Linked DNA regions of Macaca fascicularis. The protein of the gene in region 1 interacts with the protein of each later gene in a pairwise test. Links are inferred from orthologs where the notes say so. Each region holds a gene or a part of one and is shown in the gene's direction. Other genes may lie near its edges.

Region 1 (5,788 bases):
CTGGGCAACAGAGTGAGAGCCTGTCTCAAAAAAAAAAAAAAAAAGGCCATGTGCAGAGTGATGCAGCCCCCTGCCCCAGGATGCCTGGAGCCATCAGAAGCAGAAAGAAGCAAGAAAGGACCCTCCTCAGATCCTCCAGGGGGAGGTGGTCCTGATGACATTTTGATTTCAAGCTTTTAGACTCTAGAACAGAGAATGCATTGCTGTCATTTTAAGCACCTCAGTTTGTGGTAATGTGATAATTGCAGCCACAGGACATTGATACCTCACCTGTAAGCAACTTCTCCTGCAGTGCACTTACGCCATGGCAACCTGGTTATTTATTTTCTGCAGCCCTGAGTCCAAATCCCAAATCCACCACATGCTACGGGCAGGTGACTTTAACTTTGTTAAGCCTCAGTTTCTGCAAATGTAAAACAGGGACAATAATATCAAAAATAAGCAGACAGTGCTTAAATGAGTCGGGTGCAAAGAGAAATGATTGCTATTATCGTGGCTACTGCTACTCACGGGTGGCTACCTCTTGTCCATGTGTCAAAGGTAATGGCAGGCCGGGCACCGTGGCCCATGCATGTGATCTTAGCACTTTGGGAGGCTGAGGCAGGAGGATCACTTGAGGCCAGGAGTTCAAGACCAGCCTGGCCAACATAGTGAGATCACCCCAACCCCTGTCTCTAGGAAAAAAAAATAAAATAAAAACATTATCTGGATGTGGTGGTGGGTGCCTGTAGTCCCAGCTATCTAGGAAGCTGAGGTGGGAGGATTGTGGTGAGGCTGAGGTGAGCTTTAATCTCACCACTGCACTCCAGCCTAGGCGACAGAATGAGACCCTGTCTGACTACCAAAAAAAAAAAGACAAGCTGGCCACGGGCAGGTAGGGGAAGGCACTGCCGCCCGAGAGACCTGAAGCTGTAGAGCAACAGGGACTCCCGTGTGCCTGGAGCAGGCGGGGCACAGGAGGTGGGTCGTGTGGTTTGCAATGAGGCCCAAGGGGTGTCCCCGCCAGAGCAGGGCCTGCGGAAGGCTGGGGTTTGTCATCAGGGCTTTAGAACATCATTGGCGAGTTTGAAGCACTTTCAAAGTAGCACTCAGGCCAAGGCCAAGGCCAGACTGCCTGTACCTCCTGCCAAGTTGCTCCTCGGAGAGGACCCAGATTTGTGCCCCAAACCAATCGATTGGTCATGCCAGTTGGGAGTACTTTTCCCATCCATAGGGGCTGAGGCTAGGAGGGGAAGTTGGGGAAGCCAGGACTCCCAAACACAGAGGTCTGGATCCCCCCAAGGCCACGGGTCTGGTTCCTATCTGGACTCTCATGACCTCCATTCTGCCGGGGTCCTGTGTGTCCGCCTCACACTCAGTGAGAAGGAGCAAGACCTGACCCAGGTAGAAGTGCACTCAGCGCCTGTGGGTGCTGGAATGAGTTCAGGAAGACACCGGAACTCCTTCTCTTCCCTCCCCAACACCTGGCGACTGATGGTAAATCTCCCACCATAGAGGCCAGGCCTGTGACACTTGGAGATGTTTGCAAAGCCATGATTCATTGAGCACTTGCCATGCGCCGGGCTGTTGGGGAAAAAGCGCCTAGCACATGGCCATGGTGATCCGTACCGCACCCCATGAGCTGTGCGCCCCTGGAGCTCCATGCAGGAGACTTGAGTCAACCCAGAATCAAGATTCGATCCCAGCTGCCTCGGCCTCTGAAGCCCTGGGCCCTCAAGCACTGAGCTCAGGAGTGTCTCTTTAATTCTTCCCACCCCGGCTGCAACCGGTTCACAAGCTCCTTCCCCAAAAGCAGGTGTGCAGCCAAGAAGAGGAAGGAAGGGGCCGGCGGCTTCAAGTGTAGCCGCTGACTGCTCACAGCTGTTTCCCACCCCTCACCCACCCTTCTTGGCAGCCCAGAGGGACCGACTGACCGAGGACAGGTCCTCAGCAGGGCCCCCTTGCCTCTGGGCAGGACTGACTCAGAAAACTCATGCTTCAGACCTGCCCTGGGATCAGGTCTCCAGCTGGGACCTGTCTGCTGTTCTTCCTCCTGCCCCTTGTCTCCTTACTCTCCTCTTCCGAGAACCCTCACTTCCAGAAAACCACATGCACCCACATCTCCATCACAGGCTCTGCTTCTAGGGAACCTCAACTAGGATGAGGTCATGTCTGACTTCCCGGCTGAGTGCCTTCCCCAAAGTCCTCAGTGTCCTGCAGACAGAGCCTCCTTCCCTGTGCTCAGCCTTCTGAGCCTTCCTCATCTGATGCCTGTGAAGCTCCCTTTGCTGCTGAGGTCCTGGGTGCCAGCTCAGCACTTGGTAAGAGGGGGTGAGGCCGGGTGCTGTGGCTCATGCCTGTAATCCCAGCACTCTGGGAGGGTGAGGCGGGAGGATTACTTGAGGCCAGGAGTTCAAGGCCAGTCTGGGCAAGATAGTGAGATGCCATTCTCTAAAAAAACTAAAATAGGCTGGGAGCAGTGACCCACGCCTGTAATTCCAGCACTTTGGGAGGCAAAGGTGGGCAGATCACTTGAGGTCAGGAGTTCGAGACCAGCCTGGCCAGCATGGCGAAACCCCATCTCTACTAAAATACAAAAATTAGCTGGGCATGGTGGTGTGCGCCTGAAATCCCAGCTACTAGGGATGCTGAGGCAGGAGAATCACTTGAACCCGGGAGGTGGAGGTTGCAGTGAGCCGAGAACACGCCACAGTACTCCAGCCTGGATGACAGAGCAAGACTCAGTCTCAAAAAATAAAAAGTAAAAAAAAAAAATAATAGCTAGCCGTGGTGGCACATACCTGTAATCTCAGCTACTTGGAGGCTGAGGCATGAAGATCCCTTGACTCTAGGAGTTTGAGGCTGCAACGAGCTATGATCGTGCCACTGCACTCCAGCCTGGGCAACAGAGCAAGAGCTTGGCTAAAAGAAAAAAAAAATTATAAAAATACAAAGGGTCAAGACCAACTTTGTCTTTTCCCTTTGATTGGATACTTTCAGTAAAAGCAAGATCTCCGGATGTCTCCTTGTGCGCTGAGAGCATCTACTGTGTGTTGATCTGGGTTGGGCGTTCTGCAAAGTGTTTACTTGGAACTCTAGAAAGAGTTCTCAGGACTCTTAGCTAGAAGTGAAAGGAGAGAAGACACGTGAACATGGAAAATCTGGGGCGGCCCCAGGTATAGCGAGTTATCTGGGGCCCCACCAACCTCAGGGCTGGTTGGGGCTGGGATGAGTCATGGCTGTTGGGCAGGATTACCTGCTTGAGAAACGAACCAGGTCTTATTTGGGTATTGATTCATTACAACAGAATGGGAAGTATTTTTCCCTTCCTGTGAATCTTTCAAGGAGCAACTGTGTCTTTGTGTTCTGCAGGACTGTGCTTGTTTTGGGCCAATGGAGAATCACAGGCTTTTTTTTTTTTTTTTTTGACAGAGTCTCAGTTTGTCGCCCAGGCTGGAGTACACTGATGCAATCTCACTGCAACCTCCGCCTCCTGGGTTCAAATGATTTCCTGCCTCAGTCTCCCGAGTAGCTGGGACTACAGGCGTGTGCTACCACGCCCAGCTAATTTTTGAATTTTTATTTATTTTTTGAGATGGAGTTTTGCTCTGTTACCCAGGCTGGAGCACAGTGGCACGTTCTCGGCTCACTGCAACCTCTGCCTCCCGGGTTCAAGTCATTCTCCTGCGTCAGCCTCCAGAGTAGCTGGGGCTACAGGCGTGCACCACCATACCTGGCTAATTTTTGTATTTTTAGTAGAGATGGCATTTTGCCATGTTGGCCAGGCTGGTCTCGAACTGCTGACCTCAGGTGATCTGCCCACCTCTGCCTCCCGAAATGCTGGGATTATAGGCATGAGCCACCGCACCCAGGCCTTGTGTTTTTTTAAGTCTAGTACATTAGTCAGGATGAATAGCAGAATGCTGCAAAAACCAGAATCCCACTGGAATTGGCTTATGCCATTGCAGAATGTATTGTGTCACTGGGAAGTGGGGAGGGCAAGAGCTTCAGGCCTGGCTGGATCCAGAAGCTCGGACCATGCTGTCAGGGACCTGTCTCCATCTCCAAGCCCTGCTGTTCTCCGTCTTGGATTCATTCTCCAGTGGGCTTGCTCTACCTGCTGGTAAAGATGGTGCCGGACAGCTCCAGGCTTTCATCTCACCAGCCTTGTAAACAATTCGTCTTATTCAAGGAGCTTCAGCAAGGGTCTTGGGGTTGATTGTCATTGGCTCAGCTTGGATCACATGCCCATCACTGGAGCAATCAATGAGGCTCAGGAGATGCTGGGTAGCTACTGGCCAGCCTTGGTCATGTGCATGACACAGCCCCTGGGGCTAGGAAGGAGCGACGCGTGTGCAGCAAAGGTAAGAGAGGCCGTCTACACCCGGGTTCCTAGGGGGGTGGGATCAGGTTGGAAGAAGCTTGTTTAGCCAGGCTTGGTGGTGTGTGCCTGTAGCCTCAGCCACTTGGGAAGCTGAGGTGGGAGGATCACCTGAGCCCGGGAGGTAGAGGCTACAGTGAGCCAAGATTGTGCCACTGTGTTCCAGCTTGGGTGACAGAGCAAACCCTGACTCAAAAACAAAAAAGAAGCTTGGTAGGGGGTGTCTGGGAAGGTAGGTATCTGAGAGGCAAGGGCTTCCCCCCTGTAGCAAGGGGCGCTCGCTCAGATCCCATCCGGCTTAAAGAAGCGAAGTTTCCATGGAAGAGTAAAGATACTGAAATGTAAGACGCATGAAAAAATCAAAGTGGAGAGGCCCTTTGTAGTTGACCTAGAACCATGTTATACGTGATGCATTAGGTCAGTGTTCAGGGTAACACTTTTCTGCATTAAAATAGGAAATAGAAACATTTTGGATTTTAAAAATAATTTGTCAGCTGTGCGTGGTGGCTCCCGCCTGTAATCCCAACACTGGGAGGCTGAGGCGGGCGGATCTCTTGAGGTCAGGAGTGTGAGACCAGCCTGGTCAACATGGTAAAATCCATCCCTAATAAAAATGCCAAATAAAAAAAAAATCGCCCGATGTGGTGGCAAGTGCCTGTAATCCCAGCTACTCAGGAGGCTGAGACAGGAGAATCGCTTGAACCCAGAAGGTAAAGGCTGCAGTGAGCTGAGATCACACCACTGCACTCCAGTCTGGGTAAAAGAGCGAAACTCCGACTCAAACAAAACAAAACAAAACAAAACAAAAATTGTTTCGGCCAGGTGCAGTGGCTCACGCCTGTAAATCCCAGCACTTCTGGAGGCCAAGGTCAGTGGATTGCTTGAGCTCAGGAGTCCAAGACCAACCTGGGCAACATGGCAAAATTCCATCTCTACAAAAAATACAGAAAAATTAGCCGGGTGTGGTGGTGTGCATCTGTAGTTCCAGCTACACGGGATGCTGAGGCAGGAGGATCACTGGAGCCCAGGAGGTCAAGGGGGTCAAAGCTGAGGTGAGCAGCTCCAGCCCAGGAGATAGAGTAAGACTCTGTCTCAAAAAAAAAAAAAAAAAAAAAAAAAAAAAAAAAAAAAAGGCTGGGTGCGGTGGCTCATGCCTGTAATCCCAGCAGCTTGGGAGGCTGAGGCAGGCAGATCACAAGGTCAGGAGATCAAGACCATGCTGGCTAACACAGTGAAACCCTGTCTGTACTAAAAACACACACAAATAATTAGCTGGGCGTGGTGGCAGGCACCTGTAGTCCCAGGTGGAGGCTGAGGCGGGAGAATCGCCTGAACCCGGGAGGCAGAGGTTGCAGTGAGCTGAGATTGCACCACTGCACGCCAGCAAGACTCTGACTCACTGTATAAAAAGAAGTTTTTTATTTTGTT
Region 2 (5,688 bases), on another chromosome or scaffold:
CTGCTAGTCTCCGTCCCTCTGTAGATGTTTTACTTTTTCCATAATAAAAAGTTGTTTCAAAACAAAAAAGGAACCACTTCACTGGGTCTAGTTGCTTCTACTCTTGACCCTCTACAGTCCATTCATTCCCCATGTGATAGTTTAGAAATGTAAATCTCAGGATGTCCCCTCTCTGCTTAAATCCTCCCAGTGGCTTTTCATTGCATGTACAACATCCAAGCTCCTCATCAGGTCATGAGCCTGGGTGAAAAATGATCCTTGCCTGGTTCTCAACTTCATCCTGCAACCCTACCCCTCTATCATATGTCTCATATACAACTTCCTTCCTTCTCCCAACACCTCCAGATCTGTCTTGCTTTAGAGCCTTTGCTCTGGCTGTTTCTTCTGCCTGGAATATTATTCTCCAGGTCTCCAGGCAGCTGAGCTCTTAAGGCCACAAAAGCTGAAAAATGACTTTCTGAGACTAGACCTGGCTGACTATTCTTAGGCTTTATTACACTTCCCTGTGTCATTTCTTTGCAATCTGATCTTTCTCCTTCATTTGTCTTTTCCCTCTATAAGGTAAGCAGGGACATGATCAGTGCTCAGCAAATATTCCTTTTTTTTTTTTTTTTTTTTTTTTTTGAGATGGAATTTTGCTCTTGTTGCCCAGGCTGGAGTGCAATGGTGTGATCTTGGCTCACTGCAATCTCTGCCTCCTGGGTTCAAGCAATTCTCCTGCCTCAACTTCCCAAGTTGCTGGGATTACAGGCATGCACCACCACACCTGGCTAATTTTGTATATTTTTAGTAGAGATGGGGTTTCATCATGTTGGTCAGGCTAGTCTTAAACTCCTGACCTCAAATGATCCACCCACGTTGACCTCCCAAAGTGCTGGGATTACAGGCATGAACCACTGTGCCTGGCCAGCAAATATTCCTTGAATTAAGAAATAAAATAAATTACATTAATGAGAAGTAGAGCTAGGCAAGATCACCTTTTCCTTTAGTAAGACTGTCCATGCTTTTTCCTGTAGCAGTAATAAGCCTAAGTTGCACAAATACCTGAAAGATATCAGAACCATCATACTTGGTTCCTACCTGGGTTTCCAGGGAACTGGAATTGAAGAAGGTTTACAACTAGATTGGCACTCACCATACAGTTAGGCTAAACATTAAAGTTGTTTTTAGATAGTGATTTATCAGAGCAACAGAAGATAAGCCCACCTCCCATTTAGGTATTTGTAAAGCATCATTCACTTCCAGTAGAGGATCACAGTGAGTAAAACATAAGAGCTACTGGGATAGATAAATGAATCGGAGAATGGAAAAATTAGAGCAAAAAGAGAACAGAAATTGAGGACTAGATAAAGTATGGAAACAGGGTGAATAATGCAGAAGAAGAGGAATTCACAATGCAGCAGAAAGGGGGTAATCAAAATAAGATAGATGTAGGCTGGGCATGGTGTTTCATGCCTGTAATCTCAGCACTTTGGGAGGCCAAGACAGGAGGATCTCCTGAGGCCAGGAGTTCACTACCAGCCTGGGCAGCAGAGCAAGACCCCATCTCTATAAAAAATATACATAAAAATTAAATCTCAGAGAGCTGATCAAAAGAAAATCCCACTCACTTTCCTTACAGGTTAGGGTGCTAGAGCTAGAAAATGAATTGCAGAAGGAGCGTCAAAAACTGGGAGAGCTTCGGAAAAAGCACTACGAGCTTGCTGGTGTTGCTGAGGGCTGGGAAGAAGGTGAGCTGACTCCAAGGACGGGCACTAACCCACAGCAGGGAGGGGAAGCTGTGTGACAGGGCCTTCCCCTAGAATGGAACAGAACAAGGAACCCACCAGATCAGTGGCTTCTTCCTTCTCTTCTCTCCTCATGGAACCTATTTTCTCTTCTGTTGTAAATAACCTTTAAGTCTAACTCTGGGTGAAATTATGGTGAATTAAAAGCTTTTGTTGTCACCTTTTAAGACCTAAACATTGATCATAACTCATTCACTGCCATTCCCTCCCAGGCCCAGCTAGCCTTGCTAACTCCCTGGGAATTTAGTTTCTGGCCAGCAGAGAGTTGAAAAACGAAAGAATAGTGGTCAGTGGAGATCTGGCAGACAGGGACAAGTGAATTACAAGATTCTGACTATCTAGAGCCAGTGAAGGGCAACAATTGCCAAAGGATAGAAGGGATCAGGTGCTGAGAAACGGAGTGGCATGGAGTCACATTCAGCCTGCCAGCCCAGAGACTTGCCATCCATCACCTTGAGTCTATATGTTGCTGTCTGCATGTCGAAAGCAGTCAACTTGATCACAACCAAGATTGTTGACTGTTATGGGATTTGACAGACTCTGGGCACCAACCATAGACAGATCCTAGTCATTCCTAGACACCAAACTCGGGGACTAGGTGATTACACCATGGTTATAATTATAATGTATTTTTGAGCCCCCATGGTGGCAGGTTTTTTGGTTAAGTGAGTGTATGCATGCATGAAGTGCTTTGCAACATAAATTATCATTGTCTTTTAGGAACAGAGGCATCTCCACCTACACTGCAAGAAGCGGTAACCGAAAAAGAATAGAGCCAAACCGATACCCCATATGTCAGTGTAAATCCTTATTACCTATCTCGTGTGTGTCATTTCCCCAGCCACAGGCCAAATCCTTGGAGTCCCAGGGGCAGCCACACCACTGCCATTACCCAATGCCGAGGACCTGCATGACACTTCCAAAGACTCCCTCCATAGCGACACCCTTTCTGTTTGGACTCATGGTCATCTCTGTTCTTTCCCCGCCTCCCTAGTTAGCATCCAGGCTGGCCAGTGCTGCCCATGAGCAAGCCTAGGTGCAAAGAGGGGTGGTGGGGGATAGGGCCACTCAACAGAGAGGACTTCCATCCAGTCCTGCTGACTATTTGACCCCCACAACAATGGGTATCCTTAATAGAGGGGCTGCTTGTTGTTCGTTGACAGCTTGGAGAGGGAAGATCTTACGCCTTTTCTTTTCTGTTTTCTTCTCAGTCTTTTCAGTTTCATCATTTGCACAAACTTGTGAGCATCAGAGGGCTGATGGATTCCAAACCAGGACACTACCCTGAAATCTGCACAGTCAGAAGGACAGCAGGAGTGTCCTGGCTGTGAATGCCAAGGCCATTCTCCCCTTCTTTGGGCAGTGCCATGGATTTCCACTGCTTCTTATGGTGGTTGGTTGGGTTTTTTGGTTGTATTTTTTTTTTTTTAAGTTTCACTCACATAGCCAACTCTCCCAAAGGGCACACACCTGGAGCTGAGTCTCCAGGGCCCCCCACTGTGGCAGCTCCGGCGATGGTGCTGTCCAGGCCTCTCGGTGCTCCACCTCCGCCTCCACGCTGAGCAAGTGCTGGCCCACCCAGTCCATGCTCCAGGGTCAGGCGGAGCTGCTGAGTGACAGCTTTCCTCAAAAGGCAGAAGGAGTGAGTGCCTTTCCCTCCTAAAGCTGAACCCCAGCGGAAAGCCTCTGTCCACCTTCACAAGGGAGAAGACAACAGAAAGAGGGACAAGAGGGTTCACACAGCCCAGGTCTTCACAGGACACGTTTCTTAGGAGTTCCTGTGACCAGGCTCAAAAATTTTTATCACATGCTTGAATGGAACTGGTGAGATCAACACTACTTCCCCGCCGGAATGAACTGTCCATGAACGGTCTGTGTCAAGTGGGCCATCTCCCTTGGCCCAGAGAGGGAGCGTGGGAGCGATTCCCAACTCCTTTCTGCAGACGTCTGCCTTGGCATCCTCTTGAATAAAAAGATCGTTCCACCTTCTACGCAATTGACAAACCCGGAAGATCAGACGCAATTGCTCCCAACAGGAAAGAACTCTATACTTGGTTTGCTACCCTTAGTATTTATTACTAACCTCCCTTAAGCAGCAACAGCCTACAAAGAGATGCTTGGAGCAATCAGGACTTCAGGTGTGACTATAGCAAGGCTCATCTTTCTGCCCGGCTACATCAGCCTTCAAGAATCAGAAGCAAGGCCAAGGTGCTGGACTGTTACTGACTTGGATCCCAAAGCAAGGAGATCATTCAGAGCTCTTGAGTCAGAGAAAACGAGAAAGGACAGAGCCAGCGGCTCTAACTCCTTTCAGCCATATGCCCCAGGCTCTCGCTGCCCTGTGGACAGGATGAGGACAGAGGGCACATGAACAGTTTGCCAGGGATGGGCAGCCCAACAGCACTTTTCCTGTTCTAGATGGACCCCAGCATTTAAGTGACCTTCTGATCTTGGAAAAACAGCGTCTTCCTTCTTTATCTATAGCAACTCATTGGTGGTAGCCATCATGCACTTCCCAGGATCTGCCCCAACAGAACATTGCTAGGTTTTGCTACATGACGGGTTGTGAGACTTCTGTTTGATCACTGTGAACCAACCCCCATCTCCCTAGCCCACCCCCCTCCCCAACTCCCTCTCTGTGCATTTTCTAAGTGGGACATTCAAAAAACTCTCTCCCAGGACCTCGGATGACCATACTCAGAGGTGTGACCTCCATACTGGGCTAAGGAAGTATCAGCACCAGAAATTGGGCAGTCTTGTGTTGAATGCTGCTTTCTGCTTAGTATTTTTTTTTTATTCAAGGCTCAGAAGGAATGGTGCATGGCTTCCCTGTCCCAGTTGTGGCAACTAAACCAATCAGTGTGTTCTTGATGCGGGTCAACATTTCCAAAAGTAGCTAGTCCTCACTTCTAGATCTCAGCCATTCCAACTCATACGTTTCAAATTACCAATGGGGTGGCCGGGCACCACTGTACCCGTGGCTCACGCCTGTAATCCCAGCACTTTGAGAGGCCAAGGCAGGTGGATCACCTGAGGTCAGGAGTTCGAGACCAGCCTGGCTAATGTGGTGAAACCCCGTCTCTACTAAAAATACCAAAAATTAGCCAAGCATAGTGGCGGGTGCCTGTAATCCCAGCTACTCAGGAGGCTGAGACAGGAGAATCTCCTGAACCCCGGAGGCAGAGGTTGCAGTGAGCTGAGATCACGCCATTGTACTCCAGCCTGGGCAACAAGAGCAAAACTCCGTCTCCAAAAAAACCAAAAAAAACAAATTACAAATGGGGCAAAAAGTCTAGTGTACTGGATCAAATTAAGATTCTCTGCCCAGCTGAGCACAGTGGCTCACGCCTGTAATCCCAGCACTTTAGGAGGCCAAGGCGGGAGGATTGCTTGAGCTCAGGAGTTTGAGACCAGGCTGGGCATCATAGCGAGACCTCGTCTCTACTAAAATTCAAAAACAAAATTAGCCGGGTATGATGGTGCACATGCCTGTAGTCTCGGCTAGTTGGGGAGCTGAGGTGGGAGAATTGCTTGAGCTTGGGAAGTTGAGGCTGCAGTCAGCCCTGACTGTGCCACTGCACTCCAGCCTGGGTGACGGAGTGAGACCCTGTCACAAAAAAAAAAAAAGATTCTCTGTCCGAGCCCAGCCCAGGAGTTTGAGGCTGCAATGAGCCGTGATTGCACCACTGCACTCCAGCCTGAGTGACAGAGCAAGACTCCATCTCTTTAAAAACAAACAAAAAATTGTTTGTTTTTAAAGCCACAGAAATGTTTAAAACCTTCGTCGACTTACCTGAGTCATAACAGTTAAGAAAGCACTTAAACAGAAGCAGAGGCTAAGTCAGTGTCACATGAGGAAGTAACTGTCAGATGTCACATAATTACTTTCATAATAGCTCAG
Region 3 (5,688 bases), on another chromosome or scaffold:
CTTCTGTCAGTGCCGATTAATGGTGTAATTTTTTTGAAGACACTTAATGTGGTAATTAAGCCTGTCATGTATGGTACAACAGTGTAGCCAGGCATTCAGTTGAAGTCATGTAGACTACATGTGCAGGAATGTAGTTGATGCCTGGCTGTCAGCAATTGAAAGACAGATCCTGATTTCAGAGATGTTAAAATGGAAAAATGTGTGCTTAGCTAAAGTCAGGGAAAGAAGCAAGGAGTGAGATTCAAAACTCTTGTCTGGTATCATGGAAAGGTTTTCTTTATTTCTTTACTTTTTTTTTTTTTTTGAGACGAATTTTGCTCTTGTCGCCCAGGCTGGAGTGCAGTGGCACGATCTCGGCTCACTCCAACGTCTGCCTCCAGGCTCAAGTGATTCTCCTGCCTCAGCCTCCCAAGTAGCTGGAATTACAGGCATGCGCCACCATGCCCAGCTAATTTTGTATTTTTAATAGAGATGGGGTTTCCCTATGTTGGCCAGGCTCGTCACAGACGCCTGACCTCAGATCAGGCCTCCCAAAGTGCTGGCTTTACAGGTGTGAGCCACCTTGCCTGGCTTATTTCCTTTTAGAGATAATACTAAATAATAATCAGGCCAGGCACAGTGGCTCACGCCTGTAATCTGAGCGCTTTGGGAGGGTGAGGCAGGGCCATCACCTGAGGTCAAGAGTTCCAGAGCAACCTAGTCAACATGGTGAAACCCCATCTCTACTAAAAATACAAAAAATAGCCCCGGCACAGTGATGTGCACCTGTGGTCCCAGCTACTCAGGAGGCTGAGGCAGGAGAATCGCTTGAACCTGGGAGGGGGAGGTTACAGTGAGCCGAAATCATGCCACTGCACCTCCAGCCTGGGTGACAGAGCAAGACTTTGTCTTTAAAAAAAAAAAAAAAAGGTAATAATTATTAATCATATTGATTGACTTTCTTTTGGTGAACTCTCACTTTTTATTGTTTTCAAGAATTTCAGGGGCCTTAGTAAAACTGGCTCATAACCCTCAAAAACTAGAAGGGGATAGATAAAAAAGTTGTGGGTTTTTTTGTTTGTTTGTTTTTAAAGAGTCTCACTCTGTCGCCCAGGTTGGAGTGCAGTGGTACAATCTTGGCTCACTACAACCTCCACCTCCTAGGTTCAAGCAATCCTCCTTCCTCAGCCTCCTGAGTAGCTGGGATTACAGGCATGCACCACCACTCCTGGCTAATTTTTGTATTTTTAGTAGATACAGGGTTTTACCATGTTGGCCAGACTGGTCTTGAACTCCTGACCTCAGGCGATCCACCTGCCTCGGCCTCCCAAAGTGCTGGGATTACAGGCGTGAGCCACCACACCTGGCCAAGATAAAGAAGTTTTTTATATAGTCAAACTTTGTGGGTGTAACTGGTTACTGACTTCCCTCTTATGAAATAACCTATCTCCCTCTGTTACATAAGCAATATGATTAAAACTAATGAAATATTTATGTACGTTATACTCAGAGAGGAGGGGCAATTGCAGCATATTTTGTATTTTGCAGGATTTTATTTTATTTTGTACTTTTTGTTCCTAACGCTTAGTTTTCTCAGGCTTTTTATTAAATGATAATTTGATTTCATCTGAGAGTTTACTCTTTATTTCTAGATGTCAGGATTTCAGTGGTTCTTTCAAAAATAATCAGCTCTACTGCTTACTCTGTGATTAATTATTTTCCCTAGGCCTCAGGATCATTCAGCTCAGCAAACAAATACCGCTGGAAGCAATGTTACCACATCATCAACTCCTAATAGTAACTCCACATCTGGTTCTGCTACTAGCAACCCTTTTGGTTTAGGTAAGTGTCTTTAGTCATCTCCATAGGGATGGGAAAAAATACTCCTTTCCCTTCCTGGGTAGCTTCAGATAAAATGAGAAAAGAAAACGTTATGTCACTTTAACAACAAAAATTTAAAAAAAAACTTATATATTCCTATAATTGTAGATATTAAGGAAATAGGTAGGGATATGGATATTCTTACATATCAGTTGGTGCCTTTCTTTTTAATAATGAAAGAGATGTAGTGTGTGTGTACCTGATCTGACTACCACATAATTTAGTATGAGTAAGATTAGCTGGTTATTTATTTATTTATTTTTTTGAGACGGAATCTCGCTCTGTTAGCTGGTTATTAATCATAAGCCAGCGTCCCTGAATCATAATTTTTTCATCAGTAAAAGGAAAGAATCAGACTGCATTAGTTATTTTGTAACTGTCCTGAACACATGGAAAGGGGTCTGGGAAGCCAGCCTAGCCTAAAACTGCTTTTGCTTTTATTATATTAGTTTTGTTTTATTTTTTAAGAGAGGCAGGATCTTGCTCAGTCACTGAGGCTAGAGTGCAGTGGTGCCATCATAGCTCACTGCAGCTTCAGACTCCTGGCTTATGGCGTCCTGCCTTGGCGTCCCAAAATGCTGGGGTTACAGATGTGAGCCACTGTGCCTGGCCTGTATTAGATTTATATATTGAGGTTCTGTGGAAGATTTTTTTTTTTTTTTTTTTTTTGAGACAGAGTCTTGCTCTGTTGCCCAGGCTGGAGTGCAGTGGCGTGATCTGGGCTCACTGCAACCTCCACCTCCCGGGTTCAAGCGATTCTCCTGCCTCAGCCTCCTGAGTAGCTGGGATTACAGGAGTGTGCCACCACGCCCGGCTAATTTGTTTGCATTTTTAGTAGAGATAGGGTTTCACTGTGTTAGCCCAGATGGTGTAGATCTCGTGACCTTGTGATCCCCCGAAGTGCTGTTATCCATTATCTTTTGATAATAGATAGCCAAACTCAGTGGCTTATTACAACAAAGCTTCATTTCTTGCTACATTTTTCTGCATGCTACTTGCTTTTTACCGGTTTGTAAGGTGCCCGTCCATATAGTCCCTCAGAGACTCAAGGTAATGAAAGTCGTTTTTCATTCTGCTGTATTATAGCTCTACCGTTTGGAACATGGCAGAAGAGACAGCTAAAGGGTTTTAAGTTGAACCTGCTATACTTTGACCAGAAGTGGCACATACCATTTCTTGTAGTCCTTTGGCATTTCACATAGGCCTGTCCAAGTGCAAAAGAAATAATAAGGCTGCAAAATGAAATGTTTGGTGAGCACTGCAATCTGCTACTGTAGTTAGTCATACTGAAGTTTTTGTGGTTTCAAGAATGCATTAATACATTTATCTCTGTGCTTTTTGTATATGGTGTTCATTGTGCCTAGTATTCAGTCCCCCTCCTAACCTTCTTTACGTTTCCTTGCAAAGTATTTATGCTCCAGACTCATTAAGTGTTGTCTCTTCTTCTGAAAGTAGGCATTCCACTTAGGTTATATTACCATAATATCCTGTGAATATTCTTTACTGAAGTACTTAACATCTGTGTAGACATTTATTTTCTTGTCTGTCTTTCCCACTAGATTGAGTTCTGAGAATGTCTTTCTCTTTGCCTTATTCTCAATACATGTGTAGCACAGTCTCTGGCATATATAAAAAGTGCTTAGTAAGTGAGGAATGAATGCATTTGGTTGGTTATGTAATTTTACAAAGTAAACACTTTGTGATTACCAAAGTAAGCACTTGGTCATCCTGTTGCTCTGTTAGGTTTCTCCTTGGTTTAAGTCCTCCAAAGAGAAATCTATTTCCAAGTGTTCCCTGGCATTCTGTATCCTTGATTGGCAGTATCAGCCCTCTTGTACCCAGAGTTTATAGGTGAATTCTGCTTCCTGTTAATAGAACTTAAACTAGTCTTTTGGAAAGATTATTAGAACTATAGTCTGGTGTGTGTATTTATTATTTCTTCCTTTAGCTGGCATATTCTGGAGTGTTTTTTTCTGACACCAGCCAGTTGTCCAACACCAGCTCTGTGTCCAAGATTCAGTTTCTTTTCTGATACTGCCTACCTACAGTTAGTATCCGATCTCACAAGTTAGCAGACTTAGTCCTACAAGACTGCCCCTACTTCAGATACTAGTCACAAGTTCTAGGCCACCTGTACTTCTGACTGACCAGTTCTAAATTGGGGGTTCCCCTGACCTCCTCCTCAGGTTCAATAATTGCTAGAATGGCACCTGGAACTCAAGAAAACACTTATACGTTTACCTGTTTATTATAAAGGATACAACTCAGAAACAGACAAATCTTGAAAGAGAATTATAAGGGCACAAGGTATGTGGGGCATGGAAGTTCAGCTCAAAGGTTCCAGGTCCCCTCAGCGCACAACTCTCCTAACACTCAGATATGCTTTTCATGTTGAGTTTTCTTAATCTTATTGTTCAAGAATTTGCATAGAGCTCTATCTCCAGCTCCCTTCCCTCACTTTCTTGGTGGGTGGGGCTGAAAGCTTCAGCCCTTTAATCACTTTGTCTTTCTGGTGCCCAGCTCCTTTCTGAGGCTATCCAGGGGCCTAAGTCACTTCATTAGCATAATTTTCAAAAAGGGCTTGTAATGAATAATAAAAGATACTCCTGTCACTCAGAAAATTCCAAAGGTTTTAGTAACTCAGGATCAAGGAGAAAGACCAAATATATTTATGTATTATACTACACACATGAAAATATATTTTGTTGATTTTATTACTTAAATTTAATAACCAAAGTGTAAATTTTTGGCTAATTTCAATGATAGGAATTAAATATTAGTAATAGGTATTCGGTTTGTTTTTAAATGATTTCTTGTGATAGACTGTTGGGTCAACTAATACTTTTTTGCATCTTCATAGTTTATGTCATGTTAATGATAAATTTTCTGACTTGGTTTGTATGTTTTTGCCCTTTGTCTTCTTAGGTGGCCTTGGGGGACTTGCAGGTCTGAGTAGCTTGGGTTTGAATACTACCAACTTCTCTGAACTCCAGAGTCAGATGCAGCGACAACTTTTGTCTAACCCTGAAATGATGGTCCAGATCATGGAAAATCCCTTTGTTCAGAGCATGCTCTCAAATCCTGACCTGATGAGACAATTAATTATGGCCAATCCACAAATGCAGCAGTTGATACAGAGAAATCCAGAAATTAGTCATATGTTGAATAATCCAGATATAATGAGACAAGTATGTGGAAAGTTCTTTCAATTTGTTTAGCTAAAAAATGATATATTTGTTATGTAATTTTCTATGATTAACGAGATTATCCTATATGTATGGTTAAGCTAAAGAGAGAAATCCTTATCTTTGTTTAAGAAAACTCAACAAAGCCCTAATTTGGCTATTTGAACTCTGAATTTTCTGTTAAATTGAGGGATCTTTGTAAATAGTTTATTTTAAAGGATTAAGAATCAAAAAGTCCAATGTTGGAGATGTGAAATTCACTCTTAACGAAGTGCTTTCTTCTTTATGTTATTTGAATGCTAAGTTCCTTTTTTGAGGTGAAATACACCAGGGATTATTTAAAATAATCTCCTGCCTTGTATATTGAATACAAAATTGCAACAACTCTAAAGCTTTAATTGGTTTTTATTTGTGATTCTAGAATCAGACAACACCTCGTTTTATAAAATAGAGTGTTCCCATGAGCTGAGCAGAAGAGGTTGGCTTTATAGGCATAAAAGGGCTGAAGAAAGCAAAAACGAACAAAAAGCAGATGGGTCATTTCAAAGTTACTTTCCTAATAGGGTTAAAATGGAGGGAACTCTTTCTTGTTACAGTGACTCACGCTGACTGCAGCTTACTATGGTTTTGAGGGGGAAACTGG

What was found.
Region 2: the proteins of LITAF (region 1) and HIP1 interact in binary tests that used the Homo sapiens proteins (3 or more experiments, as listed by UniProt). The link is inferred for Macaca fascicularis from reciprocal best matches to the Homo sapiens genes LITAF and HIP1.
Region 3: the proteins of LITAF (region 1) and UBQLN1 interact in binary tests that used the Homo sapiens proteins (3 or more experiments, as listed by UniProt). The two-hybrid records come from large-scale screens. The link is inferred for Macaca fascicularis from reciprocal best matches to the Homo sapiens genes LITAF and UBQLN1.

The regions. Positions count from the first base shown.
Region 1 is NC_088394.1:12,311,515-12,317,302, reverse strand, and holds the start of LITAF (lipopolysaccharide-induced tumor necrosis factor-alpha factor), read left to right. Parts: upstream 1-2,187; 5' UTR 2,188-2,300; intron 2,301-4,082; 5' UTR 4,083-4,343; intron 4,344-5,788.
Region 2 is NC_088377.1:52,095,359-52,101,046, forward strand, and holds the end of HIP1 (huntingtin-interacting protein 1), read left to right. Parts: intron 1-1,621; coding exon 1,622-1,730; intron 1,731-2,507; coding exon of another isoform or gene 2,508-2,560; exon of another isoform or gene 2,561-2,998; coding exon 2,999-3,075; 3' UTR 3,076-5,059; downstream 5,060-5,688. UniProt on the Homo sapiens protein: Plays a role in clathrin-mediated endocytosis and trafficking. Involved in regulating AMPA receptor trafficking in the central nervous system in an NMDA-dependent manner. Regulates presynaptic nerve terminal activity.
Region 3 is NC_088389.1:114,292,789-114,298,476, reverse strand, and holds part of UBQLN1 (ubiquilin-1), read left to right. Parts: intron 1-1,705; coding exon 1,706-1,821; intron 1,822-4,785; coding exon 4,786-5,048; intron 5,049-5,688. UniProt on the Homo sapiens protein: Plays an important role in the regulation of different protein degradation mechanisms and pathways including ubiquitin-proteasome system (UPS), autophagy and endoplasmic reticulum-associated protein degradation (ERAD) pathway.